Alligator mississippiensis: one gene and its partner. The protein of the gene in region 1 interacts with the protein of each later gene in a biochemical or structural test. Links are inferred from orthologs where the notes say so. Each region holds a gene or a part of one and is shown in the gene's direction. Other genes may lie near its edges.

Region 1 (7,043 bases):
CTTTATGGACAAGACTTCATGGCTTGATCAACCAGTGAAGTTGCATTCATGATATTACAGGGTGGTGACCATTTGCTTTGACTAGCTACACTTCTAAATTTTAACTGCAAATACTGCTTCAATGCTTTGATGCTAATTAGAGTTGTATCTGTTAGGGTTCGATAAATTGCTTTTAGTTTAGGACAGCCGTGTCTTAGTTTTCTTGCCTGGTATAAAACCCATTATAGTGTCACTGAAAGCAACATACCTGCAGTGATTTATTCTGCCTAAAGAGCTTTTATGCAGTTCAGTGAAGCAAAATAGGGTACATTCTCTATTTTAGAAGAGTAATCTCTTGAACAGTCAAACTTCAGCCAGGGGATGAATAATGAATTTGAGATTGCGAATGAGAAACTAGGAATATGATTAGGAATTAGGAATGAGTAAGAAGACTTAGTCTGGTGGGAGACTCTGCACATCACTCCTGTTGGGAAGCCCAGTTTGTTGTTATTCCAGCAAGGCTGCATCCATGATGGCCAACACAGAGCTCTTGTTTTGCTAAGAAGCTGTTGCTTTATTGTTCCTTTCCTCATGTCCATTAAAATGAATACATCAGAGGGAGTAACTTGTTATCATAAACCAGAACCTGATGTAACACTAGCCCTCACAACCTGTCAACTGTGCAACTGTGTAAGTGAAAGGAGAGCTGCATTGTTCTCTTTCCTACATGTGGGTTGTTTAAACGCAGAGGAAACAATCTGCTCAAAGGAGGCAGCAGTGTGAGGCATCTATTTCATTTCAGAGCTGGCATATCAGCTGAACTCATATTGCATTTATTCACTTATGGAAACTTCAGTTGATTTTTTGATCAGGAAAAAATGGGCTCTTTCCGTGTGTAGGGAAATGTTATGCATAATTTATTCATAAACAAAAAGAATACTACCTCGTGGTCTGCAGAACATGGGTCAGGATGTAGCTTGATTTTCCTGCCCCCTCCCCCCACTTTTTTCCTTCTCCATTTTTGGGGGTTTGGCTTTGTAGGTGCTAAAAACCAAGTCTCAGTTTCCCCTTGAGTACTTTATAAAGGTTACTTCTCAGGGCTGCTTTTATGCTTGTTTCCTAATGGTCTTAAAAGTCAAACAGACATGCATGCCCACTTTCTATCTTGATCTAATCTTGGTCTTCTACTTTATTAAGATGCCATGTGGACAACTTGGTAGCACGGCATATGTTTTATTTCTAAAGAGCAACATTAATAAACTTTCTCTTTCTACACAACAGAACCAAAATTAAGTCAAATCATCAGGATAGGAAATGCCTAAATAAAAGTTGTTTGTGCAACTTTAAATCACCCCCTTTGCACAGCCTTTAATTATGTGATCATTTTTATTTCCACAGGACCTCTATCATTCAGTGTTCAAGGAGGTGTTCTCTTTGAATGAGCAGCCGCTCAATATTTCTTTCACTTCACTATGCTGTCCTCTTCTGAATATTAAATTATTAATTCCTTCCTGTGTTTTTCTGGGGTGTTTGTGCATGACTAGATGTTGTAGGAAAAATTGTATGTAAGTGTGTAATTAAGGTCTATATCAACATACATATGCACAAAGGGAGTCAATTAATAGCAGTATTTTAGTACAGAGTGTGTATGTGTACGTGTGTGTGTGTGTGTGTGTGTGTGTGTGTGTGTAATTTAATGCAATTTACTAGGTATTTTATAAGTGGGGAAAAAACCAAATTCGATCATTTGGCATCCCTTTGATGCCAAGTTAGCATCTCTAAAGTGTAGCCCAGACCTCTTCCACTGGTGTTAATGGAGAAACTGAAAGCAATAGTGAGCAGTCATCTTTTTCAAGCGGAGTAGCATTAGGTGGGGATCAGACAAAGACATCAGCAGTAGACATGGCAGATACTTTTTTTGACAGCAGATGAAAGGTGAGACCCTGGAATCCTGGGTTCCACTCCAGGCCCCAAAACAGAGTATACAGGTTCTGTTCCCCCTCCTTCCCCTGCTGCCTCTGTAGTCCAGCATCTTTGCCCTTTCTTCCTAATGGATGACTACCTATAGGGCTGTGCAAAACAGCACCACTTCATTTCAATTTCCATTTCACCATTTTGATGGGACAGTGTTTCATTTTGAGTTTCATTTCATTTTGAAAGCACTGTTCTGCTTCATTTCTTCGAAACTGTTTCAACGTTTTCAACATTTTGCCCATAGGCTATAATTGGGAAGCATGAAACTGCCTATAACTTTGTCATTTCTTGCCTGATTCAGATGCAAATTGTGGGATGGTAGCCCCTGCTGAGGCCACAAAGCCTGTCAAGTTTCAAGGAAATAGGTGCAGGGGTTTCTGGGAAACTGCACCTCAAAGTCTTGAAAGCAAAACTCATGTCACGTGTGTGTCTTAAGGTACAGGGGGGTGAAAACTGCAGGGATGGTAGCCCCTGCTGAGGCCATAAAGCCTGCCAGCTTTCAAGGAGATAGGTATAGGGCTTTCTGGGAAACTGCACCTCAGGCTGTGGACAAGCAAAACACATGACATAGGTGACACTGTGTGTGTCTGTCTGTCTGTCTGTCTGTCTGTCTGTCTGTCTGTCTGTCTGTCTGTTAAGGTGCAACTGGGTGAAAACTGCAAGCATGCTATCTGCTGCTGAGGCCATGAATCCTGCCAAGTTTCAAGGAGATAAGTGCAGGGGTTTCTGGGAAACTGCACCTCAAACTGTTCAGAGCAAAACTTGTGTCACTTGTAAGTGTGAAGGCACAGAGGCAGCTCAGTTCAAAGAATGCTTTTTATGCTCTTTTTCCATCCCTTCCCCAGAGCACTGGGATGGGAAGGGACCTCAGGGAAGGATGACAGTCACTGGCCAGCTACACAGTCAATATGAGAGCAGTCCTTGCCCCCTCTTCCCACTCCCTCTCCTTAATTTCTCTTTAGCTGCAAGCAAGCCCAGCTTTGAAATTCACAATGTTTCAAAACTTTTGAAACATTTTGACTGCCCTCATTTCCTTTCGAGGCTGTTTTGAAGCCTTTCATTTCAATTTCTCTGTTTCGAGCTCGAAACAAGTCGAACCAGCGTCAAAACCAAACAGCCGGAGAAATTTTGCACAGCCCTACTATCTATCTGACTCAGTCTCACAACCCTTCCCCACCTCAACAGACACCTTAGCTTAGCTTCTTGCCTCAACCTATCCTTCCCAGGAGGAATCTCTCAAATTGGTTCCTCTCTGCATTCAGGGTAAATTACTTCCTCCCCATGATGCCTGAGGAAATTATTGTGATCCCAGGAGACACAGTTTCATAAAGCTCTGCTGCTTGAGGCCCCATTGACAAGCAAAAGCAATTCCAGAAGCTTTGGTCTGCCCCAGCAGACCTGACCTGGACAATTCTCATTAAAGGCAAGACATATGTGCAAACTGCAACATTTTAAATGGTTCTAACTTGAGTGGATTTTCATGACAGCATAAAGTACAGCATTGACACCAGGATAACCTTTCACCCCCATCAAATGTCAATCTGGTACCATACTCCAAAGTACAGGGGCAATAGAGCTTCTTAAGAAAACGTTTTGTAATTTTTTTAACATGATTAAAATGCCTTAGTTTCAACTTAGTTACAGGGGTGTAATCTTATTTTCCAGAAACAGCTGCATTTTTCCCATGTGGAGGAGTGGGAAGGCATCTTGAGGCACATAGCTCATATGGAATATTTCAGTCCAGATAGTTAAATTTGGGCAAGGTTATAAATAATGAGAAATACAAGCTTTAAATAAAAACTGTTGGGTATATAGGCACTGATGCGCTTGTTGCTTTTACTTAAATTTTAGCTGTCATATGGCCTAAAACTAAAAGTAACTGAAATATCAACTCTTTTTAATGGTATAATTGCAGTTCTCCTTGGTGATGGAAACTAAGGACCACTACAAGTGAAACCATTGACCATTTTTATCACTTCCTGTGTAGATTATACATATCTGATCTGTTGAAAGCAGCCTGCTAGTAGAGTCTGGTTAGTAATACCCACACAGATAAATTCATTTATGTAGTGAAGACTTGAAATTGTAATTGCAGTTATCATCTTGACAACTGAATTTGGATTAAATCTTCTTTTAATGCCAGCTTGCTGATTTCATCTAGGATTGCTTTAAAGACAAGGGACCCTGTTGATACTCTTCCATGGAGTACCATGCAAAGTACCCATTTTATCATGGGAAGATAACAAAAGAGTCCTGTGAAGAGTTACTGACCAAGAAAGGAAAGAATGGTTGTTTTTTGGTACGAGAAAGTGAGAGCGTGGCAGGAGCCATATGTCTATGTGTCTTGTAAGTATTGTGCTTACATATTTAACTATTATGTGAATTTTAAGGTAGTTGCAAGAGTGAATATATCACAAGGGTGAATATAATACTGAAGTAGAAAAATATTAATATGCTGTATATCTCTGGTTACGGATTCTCTAGACTCTTTCTCTGGACCTCAAAGTACCATATAAAGATTTAATTAAAAGCTCTGCCTCACTGTTTGAGACAACTTAGAAACAGAGGTAAAGTGGTCCGTCCAAGATCACAGATCAAGTCAGTGGTTAGCTGGGCATAGAAAATGACAATATCTAGCCATTGGCTTTAACTGTTCTGTTGCTCTGTCTTACCTATGTATTTTACAGGAGGGCAGCAAAAAACTTAGAAACTTGAAAAATGGAGGCGGTGAATCAAAAGCAAGCAAGCCTCTGAGTGTCATACGCAGCACCGGGCTTGATTTTTTCAAAGGAAATGATTTTTGGCTTCTCTTTCAGAATTGAAAAGAAGAAGTAGAAGCATAACACTGGGTGGGTGAGTGGGCCATGAACCCTAAACACTGCTTAAGGACATGGGGGCGGTGGGGGGACTGGAATTGAGAATAGGGGCCAGCGGCCAGAGGAGCTGGGGGGAGAGTAACTTCTTTTTTAGTTGCCAAAAATCCATATTTAAATGGCTGCTCAACAAGTATTGGAAACCAAAAAAGGCGACATCTACCTCCCTAGCAGCAAACCTACATTTCTTATGCACCATGTATCCTTACCACCCTGGCAATTCTGGCCTGTTAGACCTCAGTAAAGAGGACTTAAACATTCAGTTCTTGTCCTTTTTACATATTTAGCTTTCCAATGAAATCAGTAGGTCTGCTCCTTGCATGTTCTTGTGCATGTTCCTGAGTCACAGATAAGTAAGCCTGTTCTCAGTCTTCCTTGTACTGAGCTTGTGCGGCTTTCTATTCCTGTTGATGACCTTCCTTTCTGGATAATAAGTTTTGAATACCACACTGAACTAATTCCAAAATTCAAGGAACTGTTCTAGGCATCAGTAAGCAGAGTCCTATTGACACTGGTGAAAGTTAGGAGAAAAAAATAATGGCAGAAATGGAGGAGACATGGACTGCCTGACATACAGCTATGTGAGGAATGGGATAGATGGAAAATGAAGATAAGGGGAACTGAGGCATAGAGCCCTTGGCATGGAGAAGAGAATATGGTCATTGGGAGCAAGGGAAAAAATAGAGTCTATCTCTGGCATGGGAGTCAACTGGGGATCCTAGCACTGGGGAGAGGGGGGAATGAAGTGTATAATGACCCATAGCTGCCAGGGGGAAAGAGTCAGGAGGAGTGAATGTTTTAAATAGGGGTTTGAGAGAGAGGCACACAAGGAGATTTTGGGGAGAATGGAGGAATACAAGTTACTCTTAGGTGGATGCAAAAGTGTGTAATAATGTAAGCTAACTCCAGTTAGCATTTTTAGTGCTTTAAGCTGCTTGTACACACCAGGGAGGTTTAATTTTCCCTAAATTGAAACAGTGGGTTTTTTTAAACACCGCTTCAATTTAAGGAGAATTAAACTGAATTAAACCCCCATGGCATGTACACAAGGGTGAGGGCTCAATCTTTACCTATCTCTTCAATGGTGGGGGCAGCGGGTGAACTGCCGGCAGGCTGAGCAGTCCCTGAGCTGCGCGGGGGTCCCCCAGGTGGCACCTGCCTGCTGGCACCCAGTTCAGGCAGTCCAGGGGAGCACCACAGCCATGGAGAGAAGCATTGCTCCCCCACCCTTCCCGCTCCCCTTCAACTGCGGAGGGAAAAACGAGGTCCCCGCAAAGCTCAGGCAGGCAGGCAGGCTCCAGGGAGGAAAAAAAAAAAAAGATCAGGCTCACTGCTTTTTTTTTTTCCCCTTCAATGGATCCTGCCTGCATGGGCTGCCTTTGGGTCCCACAGCCCCTGAGCTCTGCAGGGCCCACCAGTCCCCAAGTACGTCAGCTTCCAGTGTCCCATGCACTGTTGCACTTCGTCAGGTAGCAAACTAAAACACCTTGGAGGTGCTTTATCTTGCTACGTAGCAAAGTCATTTAAAGTGGAATATGCCGCCGAGTGTGCAAACAGCAATGCCATTAAAGTGGTGCACAAGGGAATTTAAGCCACTTTAAAGACCAATTTTGTGGTGTGTACGATGGCCCATAGGGAGACAGTGGATGTGATGCCGCTTCATGTGTCAACAGAATTCGTAACTAAATTGCAGGAAAAATTCTAGCTGAAGCTACCTATGGTACTTCATAGTACATAGATCAGTCATGATGTGAAGAGACAGTGGGATTACAGGGATGTAAACAGAGTACACTTTCGCCTGTTAGGCAGTGTATCATTTATAATGGTGCCTTAGCCCAAGAAATCTAACCCTAACTCTCTCCTGGTTGAATGTGCAGAGCTAGTCTAGCAGTTAGAAAAGTTCTATTGGTAATTGCAAAATTAGGACAATTTTATTATGTTGCTGATCTATTAGAGAACATACTCGTTTAAAGTCGTGCAATGTTCTGTTATAACGTTGTTGGGCCCCCGCCTGCTAGTAAGTAACTACTGTGATGAAATTGGATTTGCTTAACGTTATCTCGCTTAAAGTCACATTTTTCAAGAACATAACTACAACGTTAAGTGAGGAGTAGCTGTTGACATGTCCATGTTTATCATACTAGGACCATGATTCCATAGTTAAGGCTGAGTCAGAAGTTTGCAGTTTAACAGGAGGTTTAATTATTTTGTTTTTCA
Region 2 (7,320 bases), on another chromosome or scaffold:
GTGTGACAGCGGAGAAAAACCTTTCTAACACCTGCTCTTAGAGGTAGATTCATGCTCTGAGGTAGGAGGACCCTCATAGACCTTCAAAAATAGCTTTACTATATAAATACCCAGTGCAGTGCAATGCCCTATATGCACTTCATCTGTATAAAGCCCAATTCCTATTCCTGATCCTGTTTTGCTTTGGGTCTCGCAGCCCGGAGCTCAGTGGGTTACTCAGACATGTCCAGCACACTTCCTCCCAACGGTCCAGAGTAGGGTTTAATGGCACATCTCATCACGGTGTTGTGAAAGGATGACCATACCTAACCAGCTAGCTCTGCACTGTTCACTCTTTCCTACACCTCTGCTGACTTCTCTTACTCATTACCTGTTTACACTAATACGCCTCTTGGGAACACAGTCCTCGTGATGTACGAATCGCCCTTGTTCCATTCAACTTCTCACCCGGCCTCTCAATGGAAGTCTTTCTAAGTATTTTTTAACTTCCTTTATTTTTTTTCCCCCTAAGCGCTTCCTGCACTAATGACTAGATCTTAACGTAGAAGGCCAGGGGGAACTGATTTGTATATTGGTATTAGAATGAGTTTAGTATGGCTGGTAAAAATGTTTCAGACAAAGTATTTTTGCTTTGAGAAACAGGGGTGGTGTTATAGAATCACAGAATCCTAGCAAATGAGGGTGGGAAGGGACCTCGGGAGGTCACATCTAATCCAACCCCCTGCTCCAAGCAGGACCAGCCCCAACTACGTCATCCCAGCCAAGGCTTTATCTATCCAGGTCTTAAAAACCTCCAAGGATGGAGATTGCACCACCTCTCTGGGTGACCTGTTCCAGTGCTTCATTATCCTCTTAGTGAGAAAAGTTTTTACTAACATCTAACCTCAACTTCCCTTGCTGCAGCTTGAGCCCATTGCTCCTTGTTCTGCCATCTGCCACCACAGAGAACAGTCCAGCTCCATCCTCTTTGGACCCACCCTGCAGGGAGCTGACGGTTGCTATTAAATCCCCTCGGTCTTCTCTTCTCCAGACTAATCAGCCCAGTTCCCTCAGCCTCTCCTCACAAGTCCTGTCCCCCAGCCCCTGAACGATTTTTGTCTCCCTCCACTTGGCTTTCTCCAATGTGTCCCCGTCCTTTGGGGGGGGGGGGGGAAACTGGTCAATGTGACCTCCCCACTGTCAGATATAAATTGTATTTTGCCACTAAAACACCAGCACATTTTTAGTTTTAATTGTTGAAAAAAATATTTTTAAACAGGCAACATGGCAGATTTCGAAAAAATACTTTCATATTTTACCTGGATGGATATTTCAGTGCTGTTTTCTTTTGACATGGTGGGGAAATTTCCACGTGTCATTTTTTCCTGTTTTTTTTTCCACTGGAATAAGTGCGGAAAAGGTAACAAAACCTAAAGCAGAGAGAGAAAAACACTTTTTTGCTTTGTAAAACCTTTTCTTCCCATTGGAAAGCATGTCTTTTTAAGGTGTTAAAAACCAAGCAAATGACCATTTCCTTCCCCGTGATACTTTTCTTGCACATTTAAGTAAAAAAAAAAACCCTAAAAGCTGGTTAGCATTTTTCTCCATTTTCACATTTTAAATTTGATTTTTTTTTTTTTATTTTTGTTACTAAAAAAGGTACAAGATTTAAAAAGAAAGGGGGGGATAGGAAGAAACCCCTGCAAAAATAGATTTTCAATGAATCGTTTGAATCCAAAACAGATGTTTTCAGACAAGACAAAACAATTTTCTTCCATTTGATATTTTCCATGAAAAAAAATAGAAAGAAACGTTAGCCAACTGTCATTTTTATTTCCAATAACACACTATTGTTTGCACAGTCAGCTTTGATTGCGGTTTTCCACGGAGCACGAGTGTGCCTGGAACAGCCCGCAGCGACGCCTCGGCCCTTTTCCTGCGGGGTGGTAGCTAATTCGGTACATTCGACAGAAAGCTTTTGGGGACCAAAGAGGTCCGGTGTTTGTGCAGCCCCAAGCACCTTGGGGGTCCTGCGACACATCACTAAGATTGCCTTGCACTCTCCCACTGATAGTGATTGTCACCACAAGCAAAAACAGGTCAAAATGTTCCTCCTACCATGGATTTTATATTTATCAACTGTTCAATTTTGTTTCCTATGATAGTGATAGTGCCTGTCCCCCTCCACCCCTCCTCTCTTAACCCCACAGGGCTTGCTCTTGCTCCAGGTTAGAGAGTGCAGAGAGGAGAATCGATATGATGCGAGCTGGGGAAGTGTGGAGCCTGGCTTCAACAGCCCGCCGTACCAGCCCATGATTGCTTAGCAAACAGCTCCGTGGTGCTCAGGAGACGGTTGCCTGACCTCACGGTAAGCACCTGGGGCACATCTACACATACATTGATGCGCTTTAGTTAATGCACATGAAATCTAGTACCTCCATTATGAGGTACCAGGAAAATGCACATTAGCTTGGCTTAATGCACATTAACTAAAGCAAATGCTTTTTAAGTGATGCTTAATGCACATGAGTCTATGTTAATACAAATTAAGTAAAAAGCACCGCTTTTTACATGATGCTTTAATGTGCTTTAAAGGAGCACCAAAGTGCATGTGTAGATGTGCCCCTGGGCTCTATCCAAAACCCTGCACTTGCTGCAGAGAGGTGCCTTCATGCCCAGCCCTCCTCAAGGTTGGCACAGCTCAGCTGGGCTACAAGGAGAGCCTGGCCTTCCTCTGTTTGCATGGAAGCAAACCCCATGTCCACGGAGACTGCCCCCAGCTCGAGGGTAGGGGGGTACCCCATGCTCCTGCAATTGCAGCAGTGCCACGGGCCAGAAAAAGATCTCAAGCTTCTGTAGGTCAAAAAAGAAGGAACCAGAAGAAACGTGGCAGCAGGCAGGGACCTCCCTGGTGGGGGAAGTCCTTGCTTCCTTCTAGGCTTCTAGGAGTGCGTCGGCATTTTTGCCAATGCCCTGAGAAGGTCAAGTGTCCAAACCATCCGCAAAGCAGGAGCTGGAGCCCAGGTGAGTCCCTGCCGTGGAGATGAGGGGTGGCTGGGGCTGAAAGTCTTGGCTGCAGCAGGTGAGGGATGGAGAATGTCCCACCCAGCCTCCTGGGCAGGGCTGGGACAGGGGCTAGCTTGGGTGACCCCCTATGACCTTGCAACTCTGTGCCCCTGTGAAATAGGAGATGTGAGCAGGTCTGGGACCTGCCCTGCTCTGCACACATGATAGGAAAGGGATGGGGAGAACAGCAGGGCTCCTCTTTTAGATGCACCTTACAAGCCATGGAGAGAAGGCTGCTCCTGCTAGGGTGGTGCCAGGTGAACTGAGCACCCCCCAGGGCATGTGGGCGGAGGAAGGCCTCATTTTTGGACCCAAGCAGAAATGAGGTGCAAGCCAGGTGCCTGTAAAGGCAAGGATGTATCTGTGCACTGGTGAAAGCAGAACGAGGCTCAGAACAGAGTGCTTTTCTGAAGGTTTGGGACCTCCGGGGTCAGGCAGCATCTAGTCCAGGACTTGGGCAGCTAAGTTCTGCCTCCATCCCTCACCAGGCACCCTACAACCCTGAATCAATGGGGATCTTCGCCTCTCTACCTGTAAAATGGAGATCGCACCCTTGCCTTCCCTCACCCAGCCCTCCAGACTGTGCAATACTCCCATACTAGGGTACATGAGACTAAGGTACATAAAACTGATGAGGATATTGCATGTTAATAAAACCTGCTGCTTTTTGAAGGGTTGGGCCCATCTATGCTCAGACACAGCTGATGGAGCAACGCTGGCTGTACAGCAAGGGGAAACAAGGATGCTGCTCCCAGCTAGAATGGAGCCAGAAAACACCTTTGGGTACCAATCCAGACTTGTGAAGCACTTAGCTCTGGGTTCTGCAAAAAAGAAGAGAGGATGCTGTGCCTAAGCCAAGCCTAGCAGCAGTGGGTGCTTTCTTTAAAGCTTTTGAAATTGAGAGACCGCATCTCTGGAGTTATTTAAAAAGAAGTGGGGCTAACTCTTCCACTCACCTGCAACAGCTTGAGAAAGTGATGTGGGCAACCTTTGCAAACCCACATTATTTCAAATACATAAATAGTTCATGGTTTAGCAGGTGACCTTATAAAACTTTTTTGTGGGTTAGGAAATGGTTTGTAACTCTGTAGACCACTCTGTTGTCAAATGGTGTTCACGTGCTTTCTACTTTCCCTCTGTCACGCATTTGTGAGGGTGAGCATTAGACTGGATTACTGTTACTGTGCGAGTGACGGAAATGCTGCTTATTATCAGAGAGACCACGGTGCTCTATGGTAGGACCATGTCAGTTAACGAGCATCATCTTTTTTTTTCAGGCACACCGTTCCCGTACATGGAGGAAGTTGGGGTTGGGCCTTGACTTTATAAAACTGAGTGGATGGGGTTTTTATTCGCACAGCTCTTGGTAGGATTGCCGAGGTTTGCTGTGAGCCCCTTCCCTAAGCACCTTGCACTGAAGCATTAAGAGGCATGATTTTGGTTTTTTGAATATTTCCATACAACAAAAAGAAAAAAAATCACCAAACCAGAAAACAGGAAACACGCAGCCCGCCAAGAGACGTCAGTCTCATTTGACTACACCTGTTCTCACCAGTATGCCTAGCTGCAGACAGCAGAGCTGGGACTAAAGTCCACACAAGTCAAGTTTCATGCATCGAGCGATGGACTGCAGTGTATGCCTCTGGCTGATCATCTCTTTCTGCTGGGCTTGGGGTACGTTGATTTTTCTCTCCTTCCACTACTCTTGTGTCAAGCAGCTGGAGTGTTGCCGAGTGACTTTTAGCTCTGCGTTTGATGTTTGCTTTCATAAACCATGATGCTGGGCAAGGCAGCTAGATGACATGGTGCCAGAGAAGAGAGGTGACTTTGTCTATTCTGTGTGCCTTTCACAGGACTCTCTAGACCCAAGGGACGGGTGGACAGGTGGATAGGAAGACAGCTCTGTTTGCAATAATGAAATGTTTTGCAACACACGTGATTTGTTGCAAATAATTCAGCATCAGCTACTTCAATAATCCTCAGCAATGAGACAATAATGAGGCACACCCTCAATAATAAGACAGTGCCGGTCCTGTTGACTTCAATAGGACTGCACGTACTATTGCCAGACTCAATTACTTAGTGCAGCAGTACTTGCGGTTTCTTAAATGGGAGGAGAGGAGGGGCTGGTTTATAAATGAGTTTCTAGGCACTACCCAATTAATTAAGAATAATGATAACAATAGTATTGACCACTAGAACTAGGACAGGAAAGCAACACCAGTAGCCACAGCCGCTGGTAAGAGAAATGGGGTCAAACCGGGACAGGCTGGGCCTGTAAAACTTGAAAAGTAAGATCTGTCAGCCTGTTGATTGGTTTCGTGGGGTGGCTCAGATACCATACAGCTGGGCTGCTTGGAGCACTAGGAAGTGGACTGAAAGAAACCCTGCTTTGACAAGCGGGTGAGCTAGCTGATGGCAAGCCTGTCTCATTCCTGTGTAGAAGAGAGTGCATAATGTGCAGGGCTGTGGATGAATAGGGATGTGGCTGAGAGGAGAGAGGATGTGGAAGCCTGGGATCTGTTGGTTGCTCAGGGAAGGTATATAGTGGGGGCGTCCTCTCCTGACATTTCTGAGGTTGAAGGAAGAAGCCACAATGGTCCAAAATGAGAATGGGAACATCTTTGATATGACAGAGGGCTTAATACACATGAGGAAGGCAGAAAAGGGGTCTCTCAAACAAAGTAAAAGAAACTGTGCTCTGCCAGCTCCCAAAGCAATGCCCCAAATACCAATTGGTCCATGGGCCACGGGCGCCAGGCAAAGAGAGATTGCTTGGAAGGACCAACAGAGAAGGCTGGGGAGCAGCCACCCGGGAATTTCTTGTTGGTTTTGCTGGCTCTGCAATGTCTGACAGCCTGCCTTTTAAAATCCCCATGGGTTTTTTCTTTTCTCCAGTGGCATAATGAAAAGTCCCATTTGTGCAATCACTGGCCCAAAGCAATTGCTATTGCTTTCAAGTCAGAACCATGCCCTGGATCCACTGTCAGCTTTTCCACGGGGGAATCCCATGGTTTCCCTGCCCCTGGCTGGGGGTTCAGCCCCTTTCCACCCTTCGTGCCTGCCATCTAACTTCAGTGGGTCTGCTTCCCTCTGCTCCGAGATGTCCTCTCATTCCAGGAGCTCTTTCCTGTTAGGGCCGAGGGATTTTCAAGATGATTTAATGGGGATTTTCCCTCTGGAATCCTTATCATCCTAACCAGAACTTGTCAGCAGCAATGCCTCAACCGAATACCCCGAAGGAGAAGAACAGGCTGCCCCTTATGGCAATAATGTACATTCAGTGGGTTTCAACATAGGCCTGAAATAGACCCTCTGAGCCATAAACACCAGCCCCCTCCAGTCAGAGGTAGCCACGTAAGTGGGGTTTCATCCAGAAAGCTCCACAAGAACCTTCCCTCCAGCCCCACCTGCCAATACAGTAAAAATTTAACTCAGATGAGCAGGTTGTTATTTGCATAATGGCTTCTTGGGGCCCAGAATAGACCAGGAACCTTCTTGTAGACTCAGAACAGGCTTATAACAGTCTCTCTGGTACCCGGTGGGAGATGTCAGCAGACTGAGCTGCTGCACGCAGGGCGGGTGGGTCTGCGATGAAGTGCTGTATTTACGGGAACGTTCCCAGTGAGGCTGCGCGGGGAGCTGGTGCTCTCTGGGGTTCAAATCCTTTGTGGTTGTTTTTTTTCCTCTTTGTTGGGGCAACCCCCGCTTGTGATGGAACGATTTCACAGGAAGCAGCGTGGCAACCCGGGCCGTTTAATCTTCCACGGGTAACGGCGACAGCCGATGAGCTGTCAGGGTTCATCATTTGTTTTTCCAGCAAAACAGTTCTTTTGTAAATTGGTACCCAGAGGCGAATATGAATCACTGCGTCCCAGTCAGGAGGGATAGGAGAGTCATCTAGGGAGACCATCAGTCATAGATTCATTCATAGATTCATAGATTCATAGATGTTAGGGTCGGAAGGGACCTCAATAGATCATCAAGTCCGACCCCCTGCATAGGCAGGAAAGAGTGCTGGGTCTAGATGACCCCAGCTAGATACTCATCTAACCTCCTCTTGAAGACCCCCAGGGTAGGGGAGAGCACCACCTCCCTTGGGAGCCCGTTCCAGACCTTGGCCACTCGAACTGTGAAGAAGTTCTTCCTAATGTCCAGTCTAAATCTGCTCTCTGCTAGCTTGTGGCCATTGTTTCTTGTAACCCCCGGGGGCGCCTTGGTGAATAAATACTCACCAATACCCTTCTGTGCCCCTGTGATGAACTTATAGGCAGC

Evidence for each region. The genes of interacting proteins can lie anywhere in the genome.
Region 2: the proteins of SH2D1B (region 1) and signaling lymphocytic activation molecule interact in a test that uses a peptide from one of them, tested with the Homo sapiens proteins (2 studies listed by BioGRID). The link is inferred for Alligator mississippiensis from reciprocal best matches to the Homo sapiens genes SH2D1B and SLAMF1.

What each region holds. Positions count from the first base shown.
Region 1 is NC_081824.1:258,330,309-258,337,351, forward strand, and holds the start of SH2D1B (SH2 domain-containing protein 1B), read left to right. Parts: upstream 1-4,036; 5' UTR 4,037-4,153; coding exon 4,154-4,299; intron 4,300-7,043. UniProt on the Homo sapiens protein: Cytoplasmic adapter regulating receptors of the signaling lymphocytic activation molecule (SLAM) family such as CD84, SLAMF1, LY9 and CD244. In SLAM signaling seems to cooperate with SH2D1A/SAP.
Region 2 is NC_081838.1:15,888,357-15,895,676, reverse strand, and holds the start of signaling lymphocytic activation molecule, read left to right. Parts: upstream 1-4,304; 5' UTR 4,305-4,655; coding exon 4,656-4,719; intron 4,720-7,320.